3 linked regions of the Schizosaccharomyces pombe genome follow. The gene in region 2 interacts genetically with the main gene of each other region. Each region holds a gene or a part of one and is shown on either strand. Other genes may lie near its edges.

Region 1 (9,901 bases), on a different chromosome or scaffold from region 2:
GCCAATTTAATCACTTTATCTTTGCTAAAGCAATAAGTAATTGAAGAAGGAATTATTGTCCCATAAGCCTGGCTACAGTCTGATTGTTCAACGCACTATTCCAATGAGGGCAATAGAGGCAATCACCTGTCAATATATTTGAAGTTAAGTCTCGACAAAAATGGTGTTTCAGTTATTTACAAGTATATTAATTCTACATCTTGCTTCTAAAGTTGACAATAAGAGTATGACAAAACAGTACGTTGGAGTTTACAAAGTTATCCAACAATATAGTGGTACACTGTGTAGTTACTACGTTTTCAACATTTCTTCTCAGCAAATGTAGGATTTCTTAAAAAAATAATTTTTTCGACTAGAAATTGGCGGTAATCAAGAGAAGCTAATGTATAAAAACAATATGTTTGGACTTGGAAAAAAATGAAAAACTAAGGTTTTATATTAGTAATTTCCTCTTAATACTTATACGAGCAAAAGCAAAAGCAAAAGCACTGTTCCAATGGTGCTTATAAAGCCAACTGATCTGTGAAGTAAAATTGAGATATGTGTGTAAAGCTGTTAGCAACATCAATGTCACCATTATATATTGTTAATGGGCATTACGACTTTAATCATATCTGATATGCACATATAAAAGAAATTCTCTTTTAAGGGCATGGAACGTCCTCTCAATTAGTAATTCGGAGACATTCATGTCGTTAATGTGGTTTACCGCACAGTGATTCGACTTTCTTATTGACGGCTGCCAAACACTTTACTTACATATATGTTGTTGTACAGCTTCTTACATCAACGCTAAAATATATATACATTTCCAATTTGAAACATCGTAAGGCGTTGGATCGTTCTTATCAGCGTCTAAAAAAGTAAAGAATTTGTCAAGGTCTATTATTTAATTGCTGTTTTCTTTAGATGCATGCATTATCATCAGGAAATTGATCCGTCTTTATGGTTGATGATTCTCTAAAGGATGCTATAGCAGGAGGAGCTGCTGGATTGGCCTCTTCTCTTGTAGTGGCACCTTTAGATGTAGTAAAAACAAGAAAGCAGGCACAAAAGGCTTTTTATTCAACTGGTGGTGGAAAAAATACAATGGTTTTGGGTGGGACCCTCAGTTCGATGCGAACAATTTTTCACAATGAAGGCATCGCCGGTCTTTATAGAGGTGTTGGACCCATGATGTTAGGTTATCTTCCTAGTTGGTCCATTTATTTTGTAGTCTATGAAAAATGCAAAGTGCTATTTGGGGTAAATAAAAAATACACTTCTCTCCACGAAATTGATTCGTCCAAGGTTGGCATCAAGGCTTCCTTAGATAGTTCTGACAAACAATTTTATCGTTACTGGGGTGGTCAAATCTTTTCTGCGGTTATCGCCGGTGCTGCAAGTGTCACTCTTACTAACCCCATTTGGGTTGTAAAAACAAGGTTAGTCACTCAATCACATCCTAGGGCTTCTTCTTTTGTAGATAAAATTGCTGCGGCTACAACCGTCCAGTTTCGTAATCTTCAAACGGACGCACCATCCGTCAAATGGAGAATGCCTCGCTTTTGGCTCAAGCGTAGGACGAATGTCAAATCTTCTCCATCACAGCATCCAGTGAATCCTCCCACAGGCCCTGCATGTTCACCTGCATACAACAACACATTTGACGCATTTCGAAAAATTTATAAATACGAAGGCCTTGCAGCATTTTACCGAGGTCTTTTCCCCTCTTTATTTGGTACATTGCATGTTGGCATCCAATTTCCACTGTACGAATATTTTAAATCATTTTTGGATGATTTTTTTGGTAAAAAAAGCAACTTTCATATAGTGTTAGCAGCTACTTTGTCTAAAATCGCAGCTTCTACCGTCACTTATCCTCATGAAGTTTTGAGAACTCGGTTGCAGAGTTTGGATGCACCTACACACAACTCGGCTACCTTACTTATTCGAGACATATGGCGTTCAGAGGGTTGGAGAAAATATTACTCTGGCATGGCAACAAATTTTATACGCACCATACCTGCCAGTTCGGTTACCTTCCTCAGTTTCGAAATTGTTCGCAAATGGCTGAACTAATTTATCCGTTGTGTATATACTCAAGAAAACGATCAAAGTCTTTATTTTTTTAACGACAATCCAAGGTTAATCAGTTTCCTTGAGATGTGTGCATGATTTCTAATATTAATTATTACTGTCTCACAGCTGTTAGGTTTTCCTAATTCTTATTCTTACCCCCTCTCATCAATATTTATTTAATAATTACCTTTTATTAAGCATTTGTTTCTTGTGTTACCAGCCCAGCCCTATTTTGAGACTGGATGAAACCCATTCTAGTTTATTTTACTTTAATACGAGTAGCCCCTGTTCGTGGTCATAAGCATGAACGTATCAAGCTTTGAGCTTTATTAGTGTTTTTTTGGTCAGAAATTTCCAATTATTCCCATTCCTATTATACTGAGCAAATTTATAATATTTTAGTGTTCGCCAAATTGAACTAAACTACCTAAAATAAAATTAAATTTTTTTTATATAATTAAAGAAACAGAATATCAGTTTTATTCTATTAGAACGAACTAGGCGCTTCAAATTGATATTGTGCATTTTTTGGAGACCATGCTTTACTTGGTGGTTCCAGTCAAAAAATTTCAAATTTAGACAACAACACATTAATGGCGAAATCACAAAGATCTCAAATAAAAAACGAAGATATATCATTTGTCTCTCAAGAAGATGATTCCTCTAAAAAATTTGTAAAAGATGATAGCGAAAACTCTGAGGAAGAGTTGGAAGACTTGAACAGCGAAGACGAATTTTATCAATCCAATAGTTCTGAAGATGAAATTGAAGAAGAAGTTCAAGAAAGTACCATTGCTGATGACATTGCTGATATCTTAAATCAACAAGTTACTCAAACTGATGAACAAGACACGCCGGTTCTAAGTTTGTCTAAAAAATCTAAAAAAGCTTTACGAAAAAGTAATGCGGAAAAAAAAGACTCTAAACTACGTACTTCTAGAAGACGTGAAAGATTGAGAAAAGAGATGGTTGGTCGTGTTACGAGCGTTGTTGCAGTTAACGCTGAAACAGCAAAAGCTTTATTCACCCATGAACGTGAGCTTCGCCGTATTGCTCGCAGAGGTGTAGTTCAATTATTCAATGCTGTTCGTACTGCTCAACTTCAAAGCTCTTTAAATAGAGAAAACATCTCTGGTGGTCGTACTGCTCGTGAGCAAAAAGTCAAAGAGCTCTCAAAGGCGAGCTTCCTTGACCTCATAAAATCCCAGTAACGGGAAAACTTTCAAAATAGGGCAATACTATCCCAGATCTAGTTTAACACGGTTTTTTAAGGCTTTCTTTTAATGTTTTTCTTTTAATTCTCCTTTTTTCTTTAACATTTGAGGAGATTCTGTACTTTTACTTTGTTGTCTCTGCGAAACGTTTGCTCTTGTACAACTAGTATAGATTCTTTATAAAAGGTATTTAGTTAGGTTTCGTTGGTTATAATTAAATTACTACTCATCATATTTTGTTTAAAACGTGCCTGAAGATACCTATCAATACGGTTAAAATGATGGGTTCGATGGTATCTAATGGATACTTACTGCTATTTACCTGTTGGTTTTTATTTGTATTTGGACTTATGACTATATTTAACTTTGTTGAGATACCACTTTATGTTGATGGCGATGTAAGTTATGATGCTAAAATCTCAATGGCATCGTCGAATATTTTCTGCCAGGGTCATTGTACCAATATGTTTTAATTTCTCTATCTTGTACAAATTTGGTTCTAATATTTTTAACAGGTTTCACCTATTCGTTCTTATTATCCATGTATATTAATTCTGACTTGTACAGTGGTTTTTTTCGTATGGTTATTCTTTAATTGGCTTGGACTCAAATATTTTCGGCATTCTCCAAGCGCTATGCGCCGATAAATTTTTAAAGTAATGAATAAGCATTTGCTCTCCATTTTTCGAAAACCGTCAATCTGTATTATTAAAGGATTGTGAATCAACTTCAAGACTTTTTTAAGGAGTTCAAGCATAATTAGTAAATTGAGGTGTGAACGGTTATCAGATGATTGAGCCATCAAATTTATCTACGATCATTTTCTAACCTGATTCGTTTGATGTTCCATTCAACAAAATCTGTTATACTACTTTAAGCGTAACCCATTTGCTCTACTCGCATCATCTATATGCTACTAAACCAAACCACTCATTGTCAGCTTAATATTAATATTCAGCATAACACAAGTTTCGTCATATATTTAAAAATTCACCTTACTTTTTCATGTTTTAAGTTTTACTGTAAAATCCCACCATTCTTTGTAGAGACCAACATGATTCTTGGCTGTGGTGGTATTTAAGATTTTACCTTGGTGTACCCTATTGCATTCATTTCCACAACGCACCTCTCGACATTCAAGCAGTAATGCTAATCTCTATCATCATAGAACCCTTTATTTGATAATTTTCATTATTTATGAGTCAAGTTTTATCATCATAATTAGAAGATCGGCTGTACAACTTGACTCGACATATTTTACACTGTTTGCGTCTCTCTTTGTAAAAATTCATCCATTGTATAATTGCATTCAAGTTTATTTTAATATATTATTTCAGATTTTCTCCCTTTTATTTAATATGGCGTTGATAGAGGATTTGAATCACTTTATCAATTATTTTCCTCTAGTATTGAGATTATTCTTCTTGGTCGTATTTGGTCTTTATTCTTTCACATTGATATTACATCTATTAGTGATAAATAGGGTCGACGTGTTCTCATTATTACATACTCCGTTGCCTGTCAATCGATCACAGCAAGCTAATGCTCCTCTATGGCAATTGTCATTCTCCCTATCTATATTAGGTACTCTACTTTTCGTAATAGCCGAATCCTTATATTTGATTTCTGGGTCTGATGAATTGGCATACGTCCCCGTTTTTATTTTTGGTGTTATTGTTTTTATGCCTGTACATAAGTTCTGGTTCTTCCAGAGAAAGGTGTTTACTCGACAGTGTCTAAGGATTTTGGGAGGAAGCTACAGACCTGATTACAAATTTCCCGATGTTATATTTTCTGATTTATTGACTTCTTACTCGAGGGTCATTGCTGATCTCTGGCTAGCTGGAGCAATCTTGATTTACGTAACTGACTCACCTAATAACTCTCATAGAAAACAATATGAAAATGAGGTTATTATGTCAATGATTGCAGCGTATCCATACGCTATCCGATTTCGTCAATGTTTGATTGAAAGAAGCTCTGCGGATAATTCATCAGATAAATTTTGGAGTACATTGAATTCTATCAAGTATTTCACTGCTTTTCCAGCGATATTCCTTGGGATTTTTGCAAAGAAAAGATTTAGCTTTCTATGGTTTTTATGGAATACCTCTTCAGCTATAAATTCAACTTATTCATTTTGGTGGGATGTTTCAATGGATTGGAGTCTTCCCTTTTTTAAGCAACCGTTATCAATCCAAAACTGGAAATTTGGGGTTCGGCGTTTATTCCCAACATTCACATTTGCAGTTGTAAGTGCGATTGATTTTGTTTTGCGAATGGCCTGGGTAGTTCGCGTTTTGCCTGAACATCAATCCGCGTTTTTTACCACCGACTTTGGGATCTTTATAATGCAATTTCTTGAAGTTTTCCGACGTTGTGTTTGGGTTTTTTTTCGGATAGAAGCCGAAGCTTCTAAATCATTGGCCTATGTTAACATAAGTGATCGTAGTGACATCCCGACAATACATCCAGATTAAATGGAAATGATTGAAGTTACTATTGTCACATATGTGTAGGTATTACATCTGCAACCTTTTCAAAAAATTTCTTTCTTTAGGGCGTATCAATTTACCGTTCTATTATTTGCTTGGCATATAATATGTTTTTCATTCTTTTATTGCGCTAATGGTTTAATATTGCAAGTACATTGTCATTTGCGGACTTGCAACACAATGGCACCGTCTCGCTGAATTGGGTTTACTTAAAGTAAGAAAGTTACTTAAAATTTTATTATGGATATATACTTTTATTTGTTACATGGGAATCGTAATGGGTTTGAACAAATTTCACCATCTTTTACTGATTAAGTTGTTGAGTCAAAAGTTTAAAACATGAATTTAATAATAAATAAATAAATCAAGCTCTCTTTTTGCATACTGAATAACAAACTAGATCAGTAGACTTTTTTATTGTAAAAACATAATCAGTAAGTATGAAAAGAACCTCCCAAAGAAAACCCCCCAAATTAATCATGCATTTATAGTGTACTCAAATTCCTTCCAAATTTACCTAGACATGAGCATGCTCTATTTATCTACTATCCAAAGAGTTTCCTAAGTGCTCCCGTACCGTTTCCAAAGGATTTGAAACGAATGAAGGGTGCTTCAATATGGCTTGGAACCTTTCGATTTCCTCAACGGTATTTCGTTTCATAGAACTCTTAGTTTGTTTAGAAGATAAACTATCCTTAATTACGGGCTTCAACCTGGAGTTAGCTACCGAAATATCAAGATCAATTTCTGGAAGTACTTCTCCAATCGAAGACACATTGACTTTCAGGTTTTCTCTGGCTTTACGGTTCCGGCGCTTACGAGCCGAAGCAGATATTTTTGGATTAGAAAATTTTTGCTGCCAGTTGAAATGACGGTCTTTCCGTTTATCTTTCTTTGTTTCTTTCAGCGGATCATTGTTGAGCACTTGACTATTCGAAGTAACGGTGGAAGATAACTCGACATTTGGAATACTAGCTTGTTGGCTAGGTTTACCAGAAGACGGTAAACGACTTGATGCTTTTGACGCTAGACTGACTCTTTTTTTTGCTTTTGGCTGTTGTCGTCAGCCAAACGTTTATCTATGGATGAACATACCATGCTAAAATAAAATTGATTGTGAATCAATCGATAAAAATCGTTTTAAATGTTAAATAGGATATATAACCAAAATAATATTTACGATTGGAGTGAAATATCTTGAATATTCGGTGTGCTTTCTGGTTTAAAAATTCACTACAACTATTGGCATCGGATTTAACGGACTGCCCTTGATTGCGTAAGTTGGTTTCATAATATTAGTATTTGAAATGAAAAACTTAACTTACATTAATTTCCATCTTATGTGCAATGAATTAAGAAACAACATTAATTAACAATTTTTATAAATTAAAGCAGTTTTAAATGAATGTCCAACATGGTTCCTAAAGTATTTGCAAACTAAACCCTATAGCCATTTTCCGAATATAAACATTGAAACTTGAAAAGAAAATACATACAAAAATAATTAGGTTAGAGTAACTGGAAGTTACATAAGAAGCCACACAGCCTAGACTTCCTAATCGATATAAAATACTATGAATTAATTACTGGAGCCAGCCAGGCTTGATGGAGCCTTAATTGAAGAAAAGGGAGATAGGGGAGCATTAGAAAACCTTTGAAGAACTTCCCTGTAAATAGAATTTTCAAAAGATTGTATGTCGATTGTTGAAAACGAGTAGCTTTCTTCATAAGCGTCTATAGAAATGCGATTTAAAAAGTTTCTTAATTGAGCGTCCGTTGTGTAAATGCCTAAAGAAGGGGTTCTTGTAGTTGAAGTAAGAATAGAATGTTCGGATTCAACACTGGATTTGTCGTCCTTCTCCGATGCTTGCTCCTGAAGTCGCTCAGAAACCTTTTGTACGAGGGATTTACGGCTAGTTTTTCCGCTCCAATAGACAGCATCTAGTGGACTAAGCATCACAACCCATTCATGTAGCGCAAATTCTTCAAGTTTGAGTGCAGTTAAAAAATCCAAAAGCCTGCATGCGTCTAATAATGTCTCTTTAGAAATGGCAACATTTGGCATACAGTAAGATTTAAAAATGATCAACAATTCGCTAACAACGATTGGCCATAATGGAAGCAAATGCTTCGAAGAGGTCCTTAAAGCTAGAGCTCTAATAAATAAAAACAGGTCCTTTTTTAATACTCCTTCAGGATCAGACGTTATAAGCCGTTTGACAAGGTCAATCAGAGGTGGAAGACTAGGCAGGAAAAAATCACGTGGAGAAGATAACATTAATATTGTGATCCGACATATGTTGCTCTGCCTTGCACCTAGTTGAGTATCCCGAGATGTAAATAAAGTAGTAACGCCTAAATCAGATTTTGTTATGAGATCATTTAATCTAGATATCTCTTGGTACAAAGCTGTGTATATTACTGGAGAAAGCTTTCTTAATTGATCAATATCGAACCTGAACAGTGAATTATCATTAAAAATTTCCCAAAAATCGCGCCTCCATGATTTACTCAAAAACGGATGTTTACTCAACACGAGCAATAAGTCCAAATGATAAGTGGTGAGTGATTCCGGAAATGTCCTAGCCTTTACTAAAGGAGTTATAAATACATTGACGATTGATGTAGCCCAAGCAACTAGTTTATCTTCTTCCTTAGAAAGCTCGGTTATTTTTGGAACAAACTCAGAACAGAAAAAGTCAAGCAAAGAGGGATCTAAGTATTTTACGAATAAATACACGGAGCTAGTTTTCTTTTGTGTTTTGGCAACCTCAAACGTGTCTGCAGCAGCTTTATGATACGCCAGAAAATCTACAGTTAGGTTTGGATCACTTGATTTTCCTGCATGAAATAAGACTGAGGACAATGTTTTCCCCATCAAATCAATAAAGTCTTTTTGCTGGCGAGATTCGCAATAAGTGTTCACGTTTTTTGCAACTTCCAGTAGCATTCGTAAACATACCAGCAAATAGTTTTTAAAGCTGTTTGAGGAAGAAATAATCTCCCGAACAAATTTTGAAATTTCCGTAAAAATCTTAGATGTGTTTTCGCCCTCCACTCTGGAGACGAAGTCAGACATACAGCATAAAATATCGAGTTGTGTAATCTTTGCTGTCAAACTAGAAGGCCCTGCATAACTAGCTATTCCTTCACGTGCAAAAAAAGAAGAAACTAATTGCTTAACAATGTACTGAGGTTCAGAATCACTAAGAAATGAAAATATATCCCATATACACTGGCAACACTCAACATTGTTCTCCAAATAGATTTGTACCAGCGTTTCTACGCATTCAAGAGGTTCACAGAAGTAAAACTCTTTTAATCCCGATAAGGATGCTTCTTTTAAAACCGATGAATCATTCATAAATACTTTTGACGTTTTATCAGCATATGAAGACCGAATATGCCATGAATATGATAAAAATAATGTTTGCAAAGCATCCTGCATAGTTAAAAGCATAGATAATCTCTTGTTGACATCGATGCTAACGCCTGACGACTCCGCTGCAAACACACCAGAAATGACATTTCCGATGATACCATTGGCTTCTAAATTACTTTTCTTGGGGCCGGGTGAATATGTGAATTCCAATAAGGCTGCTGAAACTAACTCGCTAAGCATTTTCAACTTAGCAATAAAAACATCCATGCACGCATAATCTTTTACTGGGTCAGGGTATTTTAGGTACATAGACTCGTGTTGGTCAAGAAATGAATGAACAAATTTGCACAAAGATTGAATGGGATTAACCATCAAAAGTTGAAGGTTTTGTAAAAGAAGAGGTAAAAGCTTCTTTATAGCATGTAGCCACTTTGGCGAAAGTCCTGGATCATCATTCAACATTCCAACCAAAACAAAATTGGACAACAGATAATGCTGTTCAGAGGAAAGATCTATAGTCCCATCTAATCGAGAGAGTAAAAATTCTAGCATTTGCAAAAGACTCAAAATAAAACTTCGATAAGTTGATGAAGGAGAACGCTCAACTTCCTGTACAAGCGCAAACAACCCAACGATTAGACTAGATTCAAATTTTAGAGGGTTTTCCCATATGGAGGTTATTTGGTAAAGCAATCGCAAAGCCCAGGTTTGAATAATATACACATCTGTGCTCGTTTTTATGTTTTGAG
Region 2 (11,040 bases):
GGAGATGTATGGATGTAACAGACAATGAGCTTGAAATTAAAATAATCGCAAGACTAACCACGTATACATAGACATACTAGTCGTTAGTAAGTTAATTCCGGTTCGGTTTTCAATTGAGAGATTGATTAATACCGATTCAGTCGTAACTTGTTTTAAAATAGGAGAAGAGAGTGTTAAGAGTATGCTTTTTATAAATCAAGTAAAAACTATATACTCTTAAGGCTGCTTTATGTTGAAGTCTAGATGGACAAGAGAGGGGTGATAAATTTTTGTGCTGAAAACGAAACAAAAAACATAAAAAGTAGAGAAGCCAAAAGGTGTTAAACAAAAAATTCAAAAAAGTAGGAATTTAGTCCCGCTCTAAAACATTATTTTTATTGAACAAACGGATAATACCCTCGTAAAAGACAAACATTAATGAGCTTTGAGAAGAGGTCCAAAATATACGTGGACCAAATCCACGAAACAAACCCAGTAAACCTTCGGATTTATACAATCCTCCCAAAACATGACGAATACCGATTTTGGGTTTTACAAGAGATGCAGCAGATTTGGATTTGGAATTCTCGTCCTTGGCAAAAAAGTAACGCCCGCTGTTAATGTCATCGGATACTTTATCTGTTGTTCTTATCATAGTTTGAAGCCTAGTCTTTGCAACGTCTAAGGGTGTTGTTAAAAAGCCGGCGCCAGCACCAGCCAAAGAACCGGTGATGAGCTCACGAAACACACCTATATCTTTTTGACCACATTCTTTTTGAGCAACTTGACGAAGCTTTTCGTAAAATAAAAGTTGAAATCCAGAGAATGGAATATCTCGCAAAATAGTCGCACGATAACCATAAAAAAAGGTTTTCATTCCCTCTTGTTTTGCAATCTGTTTGACGGCACCTCGAAATGAAGGATAATTGTAATTTGACTGGAAATGGGGATTATTGTAGCGTCCTTGCAATTGTAGTCTAGTTTTCAAAACCTATGAAAAACGCTCGTTAGTATACAACTGTTTTTCATAAAGCAGCGGGAAACCTTTAGAAGGATAAAAACTGGAAATTTATTTTCAGAAATATTTGGTCTTCCCACTATATGCAATACTTACCTCGGATGGGACATAAACAACTGAAGCAAACAAATCGCCGACAAATCCGGCTAATAAAAAACAAAGGGTTTCAGGAAGGTTATAATTACTCATCAAATGTCGTTTTGTATATTCATAAGAGCTAAAAAACAAAGCAGTAGCCGGCAAACTGCCAATAAGCATGGGGCATACTCCACTGTAAAGGCCATGAAAAACACCTTCTTCACACAAAATTGTGGAGTAGCATTTTACCATTCCGTTATATTTGTTCGTATATAGAGCCGCTTGTTGTCTTGTTTTCACGGTATCCAAAGAATGCATCAAGAAATCAGCCGTGGCTCCTCCGATACCTCCAGCAATCAAAACATGACTATAAGCTGGAGCTTTATCAATCATTGGAGGTATTCCAGGCTCCATTGTATTTGATAAAAGAATGTGAATTAATTCTTAGTGAAAGAGGAAAGGAAAAACGTCTATTTTATGAAGGAACCTGGCAGTTTTGCCTTTCTCCAGACATGAAACTGATCAATTTTTAAAATTGCTTCGCAAAGTGGTATAAAAAACTCAATTCTTGATGGTTCTTTCACAGGACTTACTTGTCAGACGGAATCCCTCCTTTTTTACCGAAGAACCCAACTTTCGAGTTTGCTCTGGTTAAGTCGCTATTCGTACTTAAAAACCTACTGATTAGCGTTTACTAGCAGAATAATAACAGACTAGAAAAACATCAAATTATATATATCTATTAGATTTTTACTCTAGATTTAATTGTAGCTAATATTAAAATCCTATTTTTTTAGAATAAATGAAAATCAGTCATGAGTTGTTGAATTTATGAAATGTCGATCTTTTTTCTAAATATGGAACTACCTTTTTTACAGCAAGGCTGTAACGAATATAGCAATGATTGCAGTGAGAAATCCAGTATAACCTTTCTTTGATCCCTGATGCTATTGAATGAAATGTATGTTTGGTGTGACCAATTTAATAGAGCAGTAGATTTACTAATTGGTTTAGCATCTGAATTTGAATCAAAAATATATGTAAAATGTTAAAAAATACAATTTCAAGTAAAACGATTAGAGCATATGTTAGGGGAGAAGTAGAAGAAACATTTATGCTTCCTTCCATACACTTTTTCACGAAAACTTTAATTTTTGTTGTTGAACCTCATTTGTTGCGAGAATTTAGAAGCTCAATATAATACTTCAGTCCGTCTGTAGGAAGCTCTCCCTCATAATTATTTATTTGGTCGGAAATCTTAGTGAAATATACAGTAGGAAATTGGTTTTGACTTAACAAATTTTGAATCTCGAGTGAATAGAGAAACACCAGTGTTTGGTGAATGTACGATAGGGATTGAGAATCAAGTTCAACATCTTCCATAGCGTCAAACACTTTGAAAACATCCAGAAGGGTATTGGGAGATACAAAGTTTTTTAAACCTTCCTCATTACTATCTTTTACAAGAGAACACTGTTTTTGATAATAATTTAGGATAGCAGTTTTTATATTTAACAGTGGGCATTCTTCCAAAGTATCAAGTATGTAGGAAAGACGGACACTTGGTAACTGAGAATCCAGACATTTTGTGACTATAGCATTGCATGTAACACGCAGCCAAGGAAGTTCTGTCGAAGAAGCCATAAAATGATATCCATGGAGCAAACTGGAGAGATGCTCGAGTTCGGAGTCGGGAACCTGGAAATGAGGTAAATCCAACAAATATCCTTGATACACAGCAATATCTTTGAAACCAACACTATCCAATTGAATCTCCCAAGAGACCAATTGCTGCAAAGTTTCAAGGATAGTAGAGGGAAATTTTTCTTTCAAAAAATCCAGAAAGAAGTTTCCGCTTTGATAGAACGATTTAATTGTTAATAAAGCAAGACATCCTTTCGTGTCAAATTCAATTTCATCCCGCTTATCATCAGCCTTAGTAGAATTGTTATCAACTTCAGCAGGAACATCAGCATTTTTGGCTATTTCTTCGTCTTCTGAGGAAATAGAGGATGACTGACTTACATATGTAGCTTTTGTCAGCTCCTGAGCCATGTGCTCAGTAATGATACTCCAGCTCTCTGGAAGATGGGACAAAAGATAATCGAAGATGTTTATTATGGATTTTGAAAGGGTATCCAACTTGTCACAATTAGTCGTAGCGCCACTTAGTTCTTCACGAAACTCTGCATACTGATCTTTTGTTTGAAGCAGCGAACGGAAAGAAAGCATCAATGTTTCTTTACTTAAAAAGAGTTGAGCTAAAATACTGCAAGCCTTTAAACATGCCAAATAACACTCTGACACTGGAAAGCGATGCATTGCATCTTGTATAGATGATATTGAGATTTTCCAAACACAATACAGTTCATCGCTATCAATTTGCAAAATATTTGCTAACCCCGAAAACAATGAAATTAAAAAATTATTTACAAATAGAACTGGTCGCTTTGTAGATATACGGTGTAAGGCTGATAAAATGGCACTGTTCAGAGATATGAATTGTTGGGGACTTTCAAAGCCTCCATTTATCAAAAGTTCACAACATTTAAGGAACACCTCTCTTGGATTTCCGTTTTTGGCTAAGAAGTCCACAAACTCATCGGCCTCATTTTGTACTTTCCCAACATATGGAAGCACCATTCCTATAATGTCCCAGGAAATTTCGCGTGTTATATGGTCCTAATTGCAACATTATTAGGAGAATTCATATTTAATTACATGAATATTTTTACTTACATTCTTTTCTTGCTTCAATTCTTCATGTAGACACTTAATCAACTCTCGCTGCTCATCAATATCCTTTATTCGCGCTTCTTCCAATATCAATTCGAGTAGCGTTGAGTAGGTAATATAATCTTTGGTTTCAATGGCTACCTTGGCGGCACCTGGAATCGCTTCTTTCCAGTCCATTCTTCTTATGAATATTAAGGTGTGAGGTAAACGGACGAAAGATAATTTACGAGGCAGACTATATCAGAATTAAATGATTTTAAGATTATATTGTTCTACAAAAGATTTGAAAATATTAAAGGAATTCGAAGCAAGCTCATAAAAACTTAAATCACTGTTAACGTTCACGCTTCAAAAAATGCCAGAATCAATTAGCAAGCGTTGTAAGGCTTGATCTTCAGATTCACGTGGTTCTACAGTTAAACTTCTTTGATAGATGTTATTCGTGTTTCGCTCTCTCGATATAACTTCATTAAGAAGCTCTTGAACTTCGTTGATGGGATTAAACATGTACCCAACAGATTGAAACTTTTTTATCTCATTCAAAATTCTAGTGACTTTGGTGCGCTTATCGAAATTGATCATGTTTTGAAAGTTATCTTTATTTCCAGTTTTAAGGAAAGTCAGATCAGTGAAGTAAACACCTAAGAAAGGGACACATGGCAAGACACAGTTCTCCAGACAATCTCTATAATTACTGAAATTTTTCCTTGCCTCTGTCAAATTGTTTAGAAGCTCAAAACTAGCCAATGTTTTACTATTCAAATTTGCCCATGTCTTACGCAGCCGATGAATGGGTGAGGAATTTAACGCAGAAATGATGGAAAATAAACTAGCAAAATTGTTAAGCTCTCTCAAATAATCACAGACCTGAATAAAATATGCTAGCACATTGGTACGTCTGCGAGGTTCTTCTTCTTGCACGATGGTTTCGGTCACAAAGTTAACCAGATGATTCGACAAATAAAAGGTCGAAGTTTTTTCTTTGGGTGAGAATCTGTTAAGATTGTCCCAGATTTTAGTTAGGAACTGAATCCTTGATATGTGTGAAAATGATTGAAACTCTAAGATACATAACTGCTTTGCAATTTCACGAGGAGGTAGAAGTAAAACCAATTCATCCTTATATATAATTGGATCAGGGGAATTATGGAGAGAAAGATCCTCTAATTCTTGGGATAGCTCTTTTCCCTCTAGCATTTTATGTGATCTTTTTGTAGAGGGATGATGAAGTAGGTGTGATAAAGAATGCAATAATTCTTCAGCAGATGCAAAATGTGGAACTACAAAGACTTCAAAAACTTTATAAATTTTAAACAAAAAGAATATTGACTTGGAATTGTCCAACTCTTCAACAAGATACGATTCGAACCAAATAAGAAGTATATCCAAAAACCTCTTACTAACTCGGTAAAATTCGTGAGAAATAAAAGAAATTTTTCCAAAATTTAATGAGCAGATGAACCGAAAATGTGCTCCAAGTATGGAAAATAAATCTGAAGAACTGATCATACTAGCGTATGTGTTTAAAAAGATAGTAGTAAAAAATGTACTATCTATATCTGTCCTTAGAAGGTAATTTATAATGAACACTAAAGTGGCTGTTTTTATTTTTCCATCTTGTTCAATTTTACCATTACATGACCAAAATGAAAACAAAAGGTTTCGGATCAATAATGGCTCTGGTGAAGTCTGTTTCATTAAATAACAAACTAATCCTTTAGAGTCGAACCAGTTGGTTTTATTGAGGTCAAAACCATCAAGTTGGGACTTCTCCGCATCATTCAATTCTGGTTGGATATTTGTGAGGAATTTGTATTCTAGAGAAAGAAACACAATTCTTTCTGAAAATTGAACAATTATTGACTTGATCCGAAGAAGGGATACTTTCAAGGTTACTAGTAAATCAACAAAAAGGGAATAATTGTCCAGTAAACAATCGCTAGGTGAGATTTGCTCCAAGTCGATACTCCACAAATATAAATCACATAAGTTAGAAGACAGTTCATCCTTCAAGGCTTCAACATCTTGAGAAGTGAAAGAAAAAGGGTTATTTTCAGAGGAAGAATAATTTATTCTTTGATTTGCAGACAAGAATCGCCTACAACATTGAATGCATCTATCGATGTCCTCTAGAATATCTAGTTTCCAAGCTTCTAGTGCATCTTCCGCAACTAGCTGTAGTACTTTTTGGGTTGTATTTTCAGTTAGCTTCTGTGCTTCTAAATTCCAAAATTCATTCTCAGTGCAATGGTAAGCTTCGTGTGAAAGTGACAAAATTGCAACAAAGGAAGTAATATCAGGTTGGAGATTTGTATGTGCTGATTGTACAGAATTGGAACAGAGCATATTAAAATCCCATGGCAAGAAATGTATTTCATGCGCTATCAAAGAGCCCAAAAAGTAAGAAGGGAAGGAAACATCGGGCCTGAAGAAAAACAAAAACTTATTAGCCAATTGCTTCAAAAGCTTAGTAAATCTGATGCAAAGTTCACCATAAGTGCAACCCATTCGGCTCAACTCTGGCAATAAATTTAATGAGGAGAACACTTGCGCGACTTCTGAGAGAAAATTTTCATCTAATGTAGAAAGGATTATCAAGGGAAATGAAAGAACCATACTACGAACAGTTTCAATTCCAAAAACGATCACTTGAGTGCCTTCCTTTTTTATAGATTGTGACACAGCGGCAGCGGTGGTGAGAATCCCTTTTACAAGGTGGTGAATGTCATTTTGAAGATTTTTTCTTAAGAACTCTTCTGAAGAAGGGATACTATTTATCGCTTGCACTCCGTGTTTCTCAAACCATGCAGAATCTTGAAGATGAGCCTCTACGTGAAACGGCGCACAACATTGAGCATTTGGGTCTTTCTCATTCGATGAATGAAAACTTGAAAAAAAATTTTGAATTTTTGAAGAATCAATGCACGACGTGGGGAACCAACCTCGTTTTTCTGAGCAAATTCCGTCGCACCAACCGTCCTCGAGCACTTCTATAACTATGATAGTGTCTCCTGCAGAAAATTTTAAAAATGAAGGATTAGAGCTGTTCTCATAATCACTTATTGCGGTCGTTTGAAACCTCATTTTCGTAAGGGTCCATGAATGCTATCAATTCCACGATTCATTTATTTTTGAAAGAAAAGAGGAAATATACCTTCTTAAGTTATTTCAGTATTTTCCTGCTTTTAAAATAAAGAAAACACCCGTTTATTTAAAAAAAAAGCTTGTTTTCCCATTATTAGCCATTTTGGGAATTTCTTTGTTTACTAACAATGGGCTACTACAATAGAAATTACCTGTGAATTTGGCGCGTCGCGTTTTGTCACTACGCAACTGTAATATTACATACAGTATTTCACTAGACTATGTTGTCAATCACTTTCACAATGGACTCACCTAAAACCTGTGGGTATGCGACTATTCCGCAATACAGTAATACTTCGTTGTTTTCACTATTCAACCCTATCCTTCGCTATTCAATAAATACAGAAAGAAAAATGTTCTTCCTGAAAAATAAAACAGATTGTCCTTCTGGTAGCGTTTTTCTAAAAAAAAAAGTTGAATTCTTTTCTATTGATCCAAACTTGATGACTATTGTTAAAGGAATAGACCAGTGAATTTAAAAGCTTTTGCGACTATCCTTGACCGATTCATTTTAGGCAGTAAAAATACGCAAAAAAATTTTATGTATCGCTATATTTAAATACCGTATGTCATGATAGTCGACTCCACTTTATTATAGTGTATTGCAATTATTTCGTTATAGTACCAATATAATACGGCAATTTAATACGCTATACACATCATGCCCACCTATAAACTGCCCATGACATAGGGTTCACCGAATTCACCGACAAGTTCAACAAATGTTTTTTCCCACGGATGTAATCGTGCCAATTGCCATTAACCAGCTTCAATTGAGCTAGTTCTATGAATTGAGCTGTTAGGTGGAATTCTCCAATTATAAAAGATATTGTAGTAGTTCATGAAGTGTTTGAAGCGGATTTTAGTTGGAACTTACAAAAATTAAAGGATAACTCTATCCATAGGTCCTGTTGAGACTTGTTACGTAAAATTAGAAAAGATTGGAAATTGTATTGTAATTTGTGAATTTACCATTGTTTGCCTAATATGACTGCACTATTTAATTTCTGGCGCATTATGTATGCGAATATTTCGTCCATTTGGCTACTGGTGGTTTCATTTTTTGAATGGTTATTTTCCGCTACGTCGATATCGCAGCAGCGTGGTTCCGGCCCTCGAAAGGGAAAGGTAGTTATGAACAAGGATTGTCGTTCTTGGGAGGATTGGAAAGTTTTGGCTACGACGATTGACAAGGCGTCGGGGCGTTGGAAATGGCGCTTTACTCCTGCCTCGGACAAGTACGACTATCTATTGATTGATCGATGCACGGTCTCCTTAAAACGATACCGCCAGAGGAAATCTGTCTATCCCATGTTAATGTTCTTGCGCTCTAGCTTACTTCGTAACTTTGGCAACATTGGCAATTCCTCTCTGTATACCGAGAATTACTCGGGTACAAAAATTTTGATTGAAGAGTATGTACGTGAGGTCAACAATTGTTTAGAGTTTTTATATCACACTAAAAGGCTTTCCTACGACGTTAAGTGCGATTTTTTTTCCGCTGCCCGAATTTCCTTCGGTACTACCTGTTTGTATTTCAACGGCGGCACTGCGTTTGGTCTATATCACTTTGGGGTAGCTAAGACCCTTTGGAAACGTAATTTGCTTCCTCAAATCCTTGCAGGATGCGCATCAGGTGCGTTGATTGCATCGCTTTTGAGTGTCTATCGTGATGAAGAATTGAATGGTTTGTTTGATACTTTCCCCAGCGAACTGTGGAAAATATGTCAGCAAACATCTGACTATTCTCTTTCAAAAGTTGTGGAGTATGGGAATATGCTTGACATTTCCATGATAGCATCTTTTGTCCGTCAAAGACTCGGTACTATTACCTTTCAAGAGGCTTTTGAGCGTACTGGACGTATTGTTAACATCGTTGCTCCACCTTCAGCTGTTTCTGGATCCCCTCAGGTTCTTAATTATTTCACTGCCCCTAATGTGCTGATCTGGAGTGCCGTATGTTCTAGCAATAGCTGGGCTGCCATTTACCGCTCTTCTCCTCTTTTGGCTAAACTTCCCGATGGGTCTACCGAGGTGTGTACTCCCAAAAATTTTATTTGGCCGTATGCTGGGCTTCCTAATACCGGTCGCTCTAATCCTTATGCACGAATCTCTGAGATTTTCAACGTGAATCATTTTGTTATTACCCAGTCTCGCCCTTCGTTGTTCCCTACATTTTATGATGAACTTCATCATCATCGTGTTTCAGGATACTCCTTAAAAATGATACGCTTAGTAGGATTAGAAATGGCTTACCGTTTCCGCCAACTGGATATTTTGGGTCTTCTACCTCCAAGACTACGTCGATTTTTTGTTGACGATTATGTTCCAAGTGCGTATATCACGCTTACTCCAACATTTTCTTTCTCGGACATAAAGCATGCATTTACCAAGCCCTCATTAAGCGACATCCAGTATTGGATTCTAGTAGGTGAAAGGGCCACATGGCAAGCTATACCACTTTTACAAGTTCGCTGTAAAACTGAAATTTCTTTACGACATCGTATGTGGAAGCCGATTCTTTTTTGAGTTTTGTTACTTGCTAACCTAACAGTTTCAAAAAACCTTACCAACAGTTACGTTGAACCTTTGTCCGTTAATAATCTGGCATCGCCCTTTGTCACTAATTTAGAAGAAAACCAAGAAAAGATGCTGAAAATTTTTAAAGTAAAATAGACGGATTTTTTAAAAAAAAAAGCATTTGTTTATAATCTTGTCCCTTAAGGATTGGTCATGCGTTAATGTTAATTTTATTAGTTTTAGTTACTTTGGTTAATTTACATTTTATTATATATTTACTACTCATAGGAAAACAAAATACTGACGTTCATTCTATTTTTTTAAATTTCTAAGAAATTTCAAATCTATTTCTCAAAGTATAATTAGCGATAACGCTCCGCTCTTTAACGATAACTAAAAATAAAGAATTTAACCAACTGTATAATTGTCTATTGAAGAATCTCTCCAACTATAGCTGCAAAAGCATATCCTAAGAATGCACCAATTACTATAGTAATGGGCCAAGCCTGCCAAGGACGGTCCCAATCTAATGGGATAGGAAAAGCGCCAAACCAAGCACCAATAATAGGACCCCAGCTTCTTAGCTGCATGCTACCTATAACATTAAAGGATTTTAAAGTAAGGAACCTTTGCCATTGTTCAGTGTTAAAAGCAAGCGTGCTTGCAAGAGGATATACAGTAAAGACGCTGAGCGTTAGAGCACAAAAATACGTCAAATGAAAGTCGTGCAGAAGTGGTGCTCCAAATGCTACGAGAATGAAGGAGATGAGTAAAGAGCCTATCAACATTGATGCTGCACCGGCAAGTAATCTCTTTGGGGTTAAGGGTGGGCGTGGGCTTTGAATATAGATTTGCAATGTTTGCATGATAAACCAAATAGGAAAAGTATTTCTAAGCATTCTATAAGGATTTTCAATTAAACAGTTTAGGGAAAGATAGAAAATGGTGAGTTGAGTAAATGTCAGCAATAAAGTAAATATCCAACTATTTCTAGAGCTCGAAGGTTGTCTGTAACCCTTTTCTAAAGCATATTGATAAACCAAACTGTCTAGCTTTCTTCTATAGAATGGCCAAGCTAGAAGAGAAACAAGAGCAAATAAGTATTCTAAAATAGGATTATCATGTGGGCTAGAGTTTCGACAATGGTTTTTCATTAGATGGCCAGTTGATTCATTTGCAATCAAAAAATCTCCTCGATCTAAACCTGTCATGCAATGGGAGGCTGCTTCCTCGCAAGTTTGTACGGAATCCATACCCTCCATCTGTAAAACCAATTCCGGTTTCAGTGTATTTTCTTGTTCATATCCTGGAGAAAGGATGGTGCTAGGAAGATAAACAGAGACTTCAATATCATACAAAATGCATTCTTGGCGAAGAGAATCAGCTAAATTTCGGACAGCAGCTTTTACAGGGGAATATGCCGAATAGCCTATAATAGGTAAAGAACTGAGTAGGGAGCCAACTAGAAGAATCCTTCGAGAATATGAAGGAGATATTTCCTTCATCCTTCTAATTGCAGCATGGCAAACATAAACACTAGCCAAATAATTTTGTCGCATTTGCTT
Region 3 (10,383 bases), on a different chromosome or scaffold from region 2:
ACGAAGAACACCTTCAACAACATCAACACCAAGAATGATAGGGTCTCGTTTGTTGAAAGCAGCAACTGTCTTCAATACACAAGGAAACACTGCAACATCAGAACTTTCTTCACGTTTCTGCTCAAGGATCTTCTTTTGGTGAGCCGTGAACGCATCAAACAAATGATAGATGACATTAGCAGAAAATATTTTGACACCAAGCTGTTCAGCCAAGTCTTCAGCATCTCGGTCTACTTTTACATCAAAGCATAACATCAATGCATATTCCTTAGCTTTCTCCAGCATAGTAGCACAGCGCATTACATCCTTTTTGTACACTGGACCAATGTTGACTGAAGCAACGGGAATTTTCATTTGTTTGAGGAACTCAAGTAGTGCTTCTAAGGATCCTAATGTTGAAGCTTGAACAGAAACACCAATACCAGATGTATCAATTCTTCCCAGAAGATTTTCAAGGTCTTCCATGATCTCTTCTGCCAAATCTTCTTCATCGTCATCAGGTCCGACGACTAACAAACGAGATCCTGCTACAGCCTTTTCAAGGTCATTAGCACAAATTTTTACACCCATTGCGGCTTTAATTTCTTTATGATGAACATAAGCTGATTTAACTCTCATTTCCTTTAAAGGTTGAGGTGTCAGAAGAGCTCGAACGGTCGTAATGATAGGTCCACCCATTCCACAAAGAACAATTCGATCACCTTCGTGTAGGACACCGTTTGACAAAATAACATCAATAGTAGCACCAAGGCCCTCAATGACTTTAACCTCCAACACGGTACATTCGAGAGTAGTAATGTATTTGATACGGTCTGACATACGAGTCTGCGTTAACGAAATTAAAAGAGCAACTAAATCAGGAACACCCTCACCGCTCTGTGCAGAAGTTGGAACAAGAGAAACGTAACGACCCAAATTTTTATTTTCGAAGTACAATGCGGCGTTTAAACCTTGTTCGTTTAATTGTAAGATAATACTTTCAACACGATCTCTGAATTCCCTCTGGATAGCCTTCTTCTGTTTAGACAGTGAATCTTGGATTGCGTTGTCCTTTATGGAATGCCAACCGTAAAGACGATCAACTTTATTCAAAGCAACAACGAATGGTGTCTTTTGATCGCGTAGTAGTCGAATTGACTCGATTGTTTGAGGCTCTAAACCATGCATAATATCAATCACTAAAATGGCAATGTTGCAGAGTGAAGTACCACGAGAACGAAGGTTGGTAAACGATTCGTGACCAGGTGTATCAATGATGAGCAGACCAGGTATATTGTATTGTAGTTTGCCTTTCTTATTGACAACTTTCGTTTTTTGCTTAATTGACTCAATAGGAAAATAAGTGGCACCAATTTGTTGAGTAATACCACCAGCTTCGCCCTCTTGTACATTACTACGACGAAGATTATCAAGCAATTTAGTTTTGCCAGTATCAACATGACCCAAAATACAACAAATTGGTGAACGAAGATCAGACTCAGATACATTCGATTCAGCAGGTGCGGCTTGTGGAATATCATCTACCTTGTCGGTTTTGGAGTCCTCCTTGTCCTTAATAGAATGTTCAACAGCGTCAGACTTTATATCTGTCTCTTTCTTCTCGGTCACCACTTCATTATTTTCCGCAACCTCAGGTTCCTCCAATGCTGCTTCCCAATCATCAAAGACAGCTTCAGCTTCAGCTTCATTTTCCTCTTTACGTTCAACCTCTGTCTCTTTTTCCACTTTTTCAGAATCATCTTTAGAATCCTTTTGTGGTTCATCAACCGAGATTGAAGTGGCAGGGGAGGATTCTAATATGCCAGATGAAGAGATGGAAGAAGTACCACTTCTATTAGACTTCTTCTTATTAGTGTAAACAGGTTTTTGCTTTTTCTCACCATTTGAGAGACCCGCAACCCGAACACCAGATTCCAACATCTGTTGAAGACGACGTTGAGCCAGAGCCTGTTGTTCCTTCTGCTTTTTACTAAGGTATTTTCCTTGAGCCTTCATCTCTTCTTTCTTTTTCCTTTCCTTCTCTTTCTTTTTGAGTCTAGCTTCTTCCTTTCTGGCTTCTTCCACTTCGGCAAGTCGTTTTTCTTCCTCTGCTATCCGTGCCTCTTCTTCACGTATTCTCTGTTCTTCCTCCTCTCTGGCCCTTTTTTCCTCCAACATCTTTTGCAGAGCTGTTACATTAGGTCCTTTACGCTTCGATCCAGCTGCCTGTTTTCCTTTGGCAGACGAATCATTTTCTGCCGGCGTAGAAATATCGACCTCAGAGCTAACTTCAGAAGAAGCCAAAGTATCCTCGCCCGTACTACCTTTCTTCTTAGCCTGTTGCTGTTTTTTACGAAGTTTTTCGCGCTCTTTTTTCTCACGTTCCTTTTCCTTTTTAGTTTTTACACGAACTTCAGGAATTTCAGGAGGAGCAGCAGCTTCCGACTCATTATTGTTTTGAGCCTTTTTACCTTTTTTGCCTTTCTTGGGTTTGTAGTCAAACTCATCATCATCCAATTCAGTTACCGCCGTCAGCTCTTTAGGTCCTTGAGGAGATTCAATTTCCTGAGGTTCATCATCTTCCTCAACCTTCTTTGACTTCTTTCCTTTTTTGCCTTTCTTGGGTTTGTAGTCAAACTCATCATCATCCAATTCAGTCACCGCCGTTAATTCTTTGGGACCTTGAGGAGATTCGAGCTCTTGGGACTCGTCATCAGAAACCTGGTTTTTGTTTCCTTTGTTCTTTTTCCCTTTCTTTTTCTTTGACGTGGTTTTCTCTGAGGAAACAGCCAAGTTTTCAGACTTCTCAGCCAATTCATCATTTTGAGGAGAATCTTGAGACGTATTGTCCAAGTATTCGTTTTGACCGCTGATATCTTCACCTAAATCATCTTCCCAATCAGCGTATCCAGATTTTTTTCCCTTTTTCCCCATTCTTCGTTTTTCAACGTCAATGGTTTTTGGTTTGATTAAAAATGTAAGCCAAAGTATGTTTACTACTTTATAACGAGGAATATTCTTTGCTAATTAATTACAATAATGAGTTTTTTATACAATTTCGGTATAAGAAATTAAGGAGTTAAAACATTACTAGCCTTGATGCTTAACAAAGAATACCGTCAATGCTCTGTAGTACAATACTTTTACTTTCATTTGCTGCTAATTTTCAATGTCGTATTTTTATAATGTTTGGTTGTATTTGGAATCTTTATACGATATGAAAATGCATCTTTCATTATTACTTGAAACGTAGATACCGATACCTTATAATGCGTTTTCAATCCAAAGCTTGTAAACTGACAAGCTAAGAATAATGAGATTCTAATGCATTTAAACAGTAAGTGAAAGAAATGATGCATTACGCACAATGTTTGACATATGGGAGTAATACTCAATTTTAAAATGATAAATGGACTTAAAGTAAGTAAAGTATATCAAGGTCATTATTTCTTTTAGTCTACCAAAAAATATAAATTAAGGAGAGCAACACGCTATTCAAAAATCCGGAGAACTTTTTAACAGAAAAAGATGCAAAACGCGAATATTAACGCAGTCAAATAAATAAAAATATAGGTTTTAATACCAAAAATTATTATGAAAGAAAGTTTGCTCTGCTTGTTTATCAAATAAGCAAACAAACAGAGATGCAATAGGAATCAAAACACAAAGATACAACAACGGAAAGAGAGTTGATTTTCCAAATATAAATGATACCAGGAAACGAGGAATAAGGAGATAGGGCAGATCGATATCCACCTATCTTAAAATACTCGCTGTGGTAAAGTAGACCGAGAACTAACAGATGGAGTGGATCGTAAGCTTGGGTTATAGTCGGGCACGTAAGAAGATTGAAACTCGCCTTCTCCAGAACCCCTAATGTAAAATACTTGAGTAGTGCGAAGTCTGCCGGTAACCCAAGAAGCAAGGATTTTACCCCTTTGCTTTTCTCGAAGCCGTGAACGGGGGAAATTACCACGCGAAGTAAACGCTACGACATCGGCAATAATTTGATGCTCATCGAGGATACTGTTGATCACTACTGGAACAATGGCTGCCAAAAAATCCTGACCTAGAGCCTCAATAACGACAACAACTCTTCCAGCAGACTGAAAAACTGCAGTTCCTCCACGAGCGATTCGAGGATGAGAACGTTCAATGGTGTCCTCAATGTCAGAAGGAAAATGACTTAAACCGTTGACTTCAAAAGTCTCTCCAATGGGCCCTAATACATAGAGAAGTTGCATGTCAACAACCGGTGCGTTGGGTCCCATGGAATGTGAAGTGATTTGGAGAAAGCCCAAATCACCAGTACGAACATATCCGTTACCAAGAAATCCATCAGAGTTAGTAGCATTAAATCTCATCATATCTACTGGATCTGTTGATTGGAAAAAAGAGATAGCATTTGCACTCGAGCGCATCCAGATTTCACCATACTCGCCAACTCTGCATAGTTCACGAGTATCAGGATTAACTATTGCAAGCTGAGTAGAAACTGGAACCATTCCAGAATCCAATAAAGGAAGTGCATATGGCTTGTCTGCTGACTCGCATGGTTGTATTAAACCATGCCTTAAAGCTCGCAAATCGAGTAATTGAGGTGTAGGAATTGCACCCATATATGATCTTGTAGATATGAACGGATTCAAACAATTACTATACACAGTGCTGAAAGCATAAGGACTCAGACCATGTTTCACAAAGTACTTCTGTAAACTAGCGATATAGAACGCACTTATGCGACCGTCGTGAGGAATCATTAAATTTTCAAGACATGACAGATTTGGCCATTTAGTCGGTTGTTGGTTTTGAATGTAATTAAGAGTTTGAAAAGTAGCGTAAGTGTCTTTAATCTTATATTTGGATATGATTTGGAATAAAAGTAAAGGGTTGTTGGCAAAATCAACGGGTGAAAGAAGGTAGGTGGTTGTTCCCAAAAAGACTCCCATTAAACATGTATGAAAAAAGCCAATACCACTCATACTCCTGACATGTCCCAACAGAGGCCGTTTGTGGGTCATTTGGCATGTTTCTTTGTGTATTTGGCATATAGAAAGTAACGTTTGATGATTGTATGCCGTCAAAGTTAAACGATGATCAGGAGACCAAAAAGCCCAAACGAGAGCAGGGAAGGCAGGGTCTAAACATATCGGATCTAACTTTACATTCAACTCCTTGATGCTTTTCGTTTGCTTACTAATTTTTGAAGTCACGATAAAAGAAGGCAGTACTACTTTGGCAGCCATAGCCGACTGCTTCAAATGTTGAGATGTGGTTTTAGCACGAAGAGCTGTGTCAGCTTCGGAATTGACCAATACGGCACTAACATAATAATGCTTTATTAAAAACAAAAACGCGGGTACGTCTTCTGAAAGCCTCATGTGATCCAATGGGGGTACGGGAATAGGAATCAAGCCTAAATAAAAGCAAGCATATAAAGCATAAACAAAATCTTCTGAGTGAGTGTACATTAAAACAACCACCCTACCAGGCTTTATATACTTTTTCTTTTGCAAATATCGAATAATAGTTGCAACTCTTTGATCAAATTTCCTCCAAGTAATGTTTTTTCCTTCTCGACCACGACCATCTATAGTAATATAGGCAATATCTTCTGCGTTCTTTGCTACTCGTAATTGCAATAATTGAAGCATTGTATGACAAGAAGAGATATCCACCGATGTTTTTGCATCATATCGTAAAGAGCGGTCTATAAACCCGCTGTATTGAAGTTCTTGATCAGAGAGTAAATTCTGTCGAATACCGCTAGCATAGCTAGACCAAATACCGTCTATAGCATCCTCACCGACTGGTAAATTAAGAACAGCTCGCTCTACTGCAAATTTAACATAAAGAAATGGAAGCGTACCATGCTCAAACGCTCTCCTACACATCATGTTACCAATTTCTTGGCGACCATTTTTTGTTACTCTGGGTAGAGTAAAAGGGGCACAAATCAGAACACAGTAGACACGAACTTGATGATCTTCCAAAAGACATTCGACACATTCCGTAGTAATAAGATCAAGCAATCCATAATTGATTACAACTTGGTTACCATTAGCTTCAGTTGGTATGTTCGCTGCAGGGCTTTCTAGCAGAACAACAGGTAAATGCTCGCTATTTACGAAGATATCAAAAGCAGAACAGTCAAAAACTTTGGACACCTTTCTCATGATAGTGTTTACTAGATGGGACGTATAATGATGAAAGAATATAGTATCCTGTTTGCCATTATCAACCCACTCAACTTTTTGTTGAAGACGATCCTCGTAAAGACCAAGAACATATACTTTACCCTTGCGAATAAATCCAAGCAAACCAGTCCTTAAAAACTCTTGGTTAGATGGGATCGGTTGAAAAGTATCAGAGGAAATAAAGCTGGTCCTAGCATGAAAAATTGCTTCAGTTTGTTTAGGAAGAGCAAAAAACCCACCCGAGAGTGATGGCGAGTCAACCCAAATTTCGCCAACTATGTTAGGCAAGCAAAGGACTTGAGTCTCTGGGTCAACAATTGCGAGAGTAGCATCAACAAAAGGGTACCAAAACGCTCCTACACGTATGGTGTTTGGGTGCTTGGATTGGCGACGTGCTTTGTCATCTTCAGCCAACACCACTACTTCATTCAACTTTAAAGCTTCTTTTTCTAATAGAACCTCTGAAATCTCATTTTCCGGAGTCCTTGGACTCTTAAATCCTTTGGGAGACATGAATTCTTCACCACCAATCCAGTCTTTCATTGAAATTACCATTCCTCCATGTTCTGGAAGGCATAACAAAGGTACGAATGTTGCGCGTGGATTTTGATTTCCAAGAGGTTTTAACCAACGATCGGAAACAATCTCTTGAAATTCACAATCAACGTTTAAGCAATCAACCATGCACATTCGTAAAGAAGATAAATCTACTGAATGTTTTTTACTAAACCCAAGTGTTGCTTTAGGATCATTTTGATAATTGTAAGCGATAGTCTTCAAACCGGCATAGTCAGTAAGCATAAACGATGCACGATAGCGCGTAGCAAGGTTTGCCCATAAGCCTGGCACAAACACGGCATTTTGAGGACACCAAACAGTCGTGTATCCAGAAAAGACTGTATGCAGGACACCCAAAATCAATCCGATAGCTTGACGTAAATCGAGATATGTAAGGAATAAACCGGATTTACTAAGACCTTCAGTGTACTCACGATCAATAGATAAATAGTCTAGTTTATCAGATTCATAAGCTGGAGCCGTGGCATGAATAGCAGCAAGACAATTCATTTGATGAAGTATTGTACGATGTGAAATTACTACTCCGTGCAATTCACCAATTGGTGACCGAGAAAATTCAATGTAGGCAAGGTCAGGTACCTGTAAAGGTGGCATTTCCGCCTTTTTCTTAAGGTGGAATCCACCAAATTCGTTTGTCTTCCACCATTCAACATTTTTTGGCCAGTGTAACTTTTTAGCATTTAAATCTCGTTGAAAGGCTTTTAAATTAGCATCAGTGGTAAGAGCAAGTCGAGCACTAGTAGTTGTCAATATTGAACTTAGCTCGTTGTAATCGTCGAAACGATTGATAGGTACAGCAACGACACCAGCAATAAAGCAACCAAAAAGTGAGACGACGAAATCAATCGCTTCACAGTCCCTGTACATGAGAACTACCCGGTCACTTCTAAAAAGGCCACTCTTATCGCGAATTACTTGAGCAACTTTTTCTGCTCGGGATGCTAGTTTTTCCCATGTGATAGACGTAAATTCTTTTCCTTTATTATCTAGAATAATAAATGCAGTTTTCTTAGCGCTGTGTACACCTCTATATCGTAAAACAGCAGCTATATTAGTAAATTGTTTCATTTCGATTTTAGAGTTCAGTGGATCCGTCACAGGAAAAGGAATTTCACGAGGTTCAAGAGGATGCTGTTGTTTACCAGCAAAGTGAGCCCATTGCTGATCCAAGGTGTCATCGACATGAAGGTTGCTTCCAAAATCTTTTCCGTCAAATGTTGCTACAATGTCCGAAGAGTAAGCTATCCTTGGTTCATTTACTAAATCGTCTCCATACACCTCCTCCATATGATCGTGACCAACCATTGTATAATTTTCATGATTTTCAACGTTATGATTCTCCGCTCCTGCATACATCCCATTCGGATATGCAGACATAGATGCAGCAATAGAATTTTGCCTTAATTCACATTCACTCTTATTTTCTCTGCTGTTATTTTGTTGAAAATTTGTCGCCTCTGAATTAGCAGGAATAGAACCTTGAACTGGTTTGTAATAGTTTTGCCCGAAATTCCCAGGTTGATTAGGAAATTGATTCATATCAAACAAAATTCCTCTATTTGTCTAGTATCCTCATAAACCTGGTAATTCGAACCTTGAAACCTTTACAATTACTTGGTTATGAGATTGTTGTAATTTTTTGGTGTTGATACTGCTTTTGCTCGCTGCATTTACCGAGACTCGAGGTAGCGAAATCAAACATTTATGAGCTTCTAGCATTAAAGGCATAGCATGATATGATATTTTTATTTAAAAAAAAAAAAGCTAAACCATATCATATATCGGTAGTACGCCTTTTCAGAATTTTTGAATTTGTCTTTCACAGTATTTGCTATATACAATACTCCTTACCTGTCAAAACAATTAAATAATAATTCAATTGCACACTTGTCAAAAATTTTATTAGAGCAAGAAAATTTTTCAAGATTTGAGTGTACTCCTAATTTTCACTTGTTGCTATGCCCGTTGCGTGTATTCTAAAATCATTTATAAATCTTAAAGCAATAAAAAAGAACAGCATAAAAGCAAGCAGCAGCTTTTTATTAAAAATATAATTCAACACTAACTAGTTAAGAAGTTAAACTCTAATGAACACCATTACTTGAGATTCTAAAATCATAAACAAAACGAGGGCGCAATCCCAAGCTTATAAGTTAAACATAACAAAAAAATTGAACTATGACCATGTTACAGTCCAGTTTTTAGAAAAGGCACCGTCGACTGTCAAATCTAGTAGATTTGTTAACGAAAGAGTCTGGTCTGAATATTGATAATCGCTTAATTGCTGACCATTAAATAGTATAGTATTTGGTGGGTTTGAAAGACCAAGGATTGTAATGTTGGCCAAAGATGGGGACGAAACCATGGTTCCTGATACTACGCACGTAATCGTATTTGAATTAGAATTTAGTTTGACAGAGAGAGATGAGTTTGTTTGCATCGAAATTCCGTCATCAATATATAAACTACCACTAGCAAACCCATTATTATCCATAGCTATAAGCAAGCTATAAGGATTATTGCGCGACTCATATGTAGTATAACCGGGTTGCTGTAAGGGAATGATATTTCCTCCACGAACGGCAATATTGACATACCCAAGTGGTGCACTCATAGTAATATTTTCATCGTAATCATGGTTTATTACCGAATGATTATACCAATCGTACCAAATAGTATCATTATCTCCAGGAATGATACCTTGAATATATGTCGTGTTTGGTTCTAACGCTGGGGATATCAGCAATGCAGTTCCAATCATAAACTGCTTATCCACACTTGCTAGTGAGATTTGTTTTGGGAATTCAAAGAACAAAGGACGCACCATAGGTGTACCATCGACAGAAGCTGTATGCATTAAAGTGTACCAATACGGCAATAAACTGTAGCGTATTTCGATAGCGCTTCTAGATGCCTCAGCGACAGAAGCCCATCTGAACGGCTCTTGTGGAATGGAACCTAGACTATTATGATTTCTATAAAATGGAAGAAAAGCTCCTAAAGCCATCCAACGCGCACAAAGCTCTTCATCGGTATTACCATTATACCCACAAACATCTGCTCCAACCATTGGTATTCCCAATAAATTAAAAGTAAGTATACTCGAAATAGAGGAAACCATATCGGACCATTGTGATTTATTATCACCAAGCCAATGTGCGGCATATCGTCCAGAACCAACAAAGGTTGAGCGGCTCAAAAGGAAAGGCCTAATGTTTGGCTGAATTGAATTAAGTGCCTCAAAAGAGATCTTGCTTTCTGAGTAGCCATATGTGTTGAACAAATTATATCTTAATGTATTGCCGTGCATTGTTGCATTAGGACTAACGCCAAATTGAGCCAAGTCGTGAGTCTCAGTATCTGTGTCTAAGGCATAAGGAGGATAGTTGATACTAAACTCCGGCTTTCCGTTAATAAGAGATTCACTTGAAGGTGTTTCATGTGATTTTTCAGAAGTTGCAGTGGCTTTATATTGACTCTGTGAAGCCCGAGAAACAGACTTGTACTCAGTCGTATTGGTAGCATTAAAATCCTCGGGATAACTGTAAACTTTATTATCAACATCTCCTGGCAGAGAAAATGGTGGATGAACTGGATTCAGTTTCAAAAGGTCGGACCCACATGAACC

What was found.
Region 1: mutations in ste6 (region 2) and erd1 together harm fitness more than expected from each alone (negative genetic interaction), as found in Schizosaccharomyces pombe (one large-scale study listed by BioGRID).
Region 3: mutations in ste6 (region 2) and cmr2 together harm fitness less than expected from each alone (positive genetic interaction), as found in Schizosaccharomyces pombe (one large-scale study listed by BioGRID).

Annotation. Positions count from the first base shown.
Region 1 is NC_003424.3:495,138-505,038, reverse strand, and holds erd1 (EXS domain-containing protein), read left to right. Parts: upstream 1-4,392; 5' UTR 4,393-4,633; coding exon 4,634-5,755; 3' UTR 5,756-6,161; downstream 6,162-9,901. Other genes in the region: yea6 (NAD+ transporter), read left to right, coding at 946-2,061; rRNA processing protein Rrp15, read left to right, coding at 2,655-3,272; SPOM_SPAC227.19C (uncharacterized protein), read left to right, coding at 3,554-3,673, 3,791-3,922; slx9 (ribosome biogenesis protein), read right to left, coding at 6,309-6,824, 6,866-6,868; dop1 (family protein DOPEY), read right to left, coding at 7,350-9,901. UniProt on the Schizosaccharomyces pombe protein: Required for the retention of luminal endoplasmic reticulum proteins, affects glycoprotein processing in the Golgi apparatus.
Region 2 is NC_003421.2:1,761,941-1,772,980, reverse strand, and holds ste6 (RasGEF Ste6), read right to left. Parts: upstream 6,896-11,040; coding exon 4,160-6,895; 3' UTR 4,010-4,159; downstream 1-4,009. Other genes in the region: mme1 (ATP-Mg/Pi carrier protein), read right to left, coding at 350-970, 1,094-1,489; ubiquitin-protein transferase inhibitor Glm2, read right to left, coding at 2,243-3,757, 3,815-3,988; triacylglycerol lipase Ptl1, read left to right, coding at 7,943-9,458, 9,510-9,631; SPOM_SPCC1450.15 (pig-F/3-ketosphinganine reductase fusion protein), read right to left, coding at 9,904-11,040.
Region 3 is NC_003424.3:1,122,078-1,132,460, reverse strand, and holds cmr2 (AMP binding enzyme), read right to left. Parts: upstream 8,384-10,383; 5' UTR 8,295-8,383; coding exon 3,741-8,294; 3' UTR 3,357-3,740; downstream 1-3,356. Other genes in the region: translation initiation factor Tif52, read right to left, coding at 1-2,913; gto2 (alpha-glucosidase), read right to left, coding at 8,932-10,383.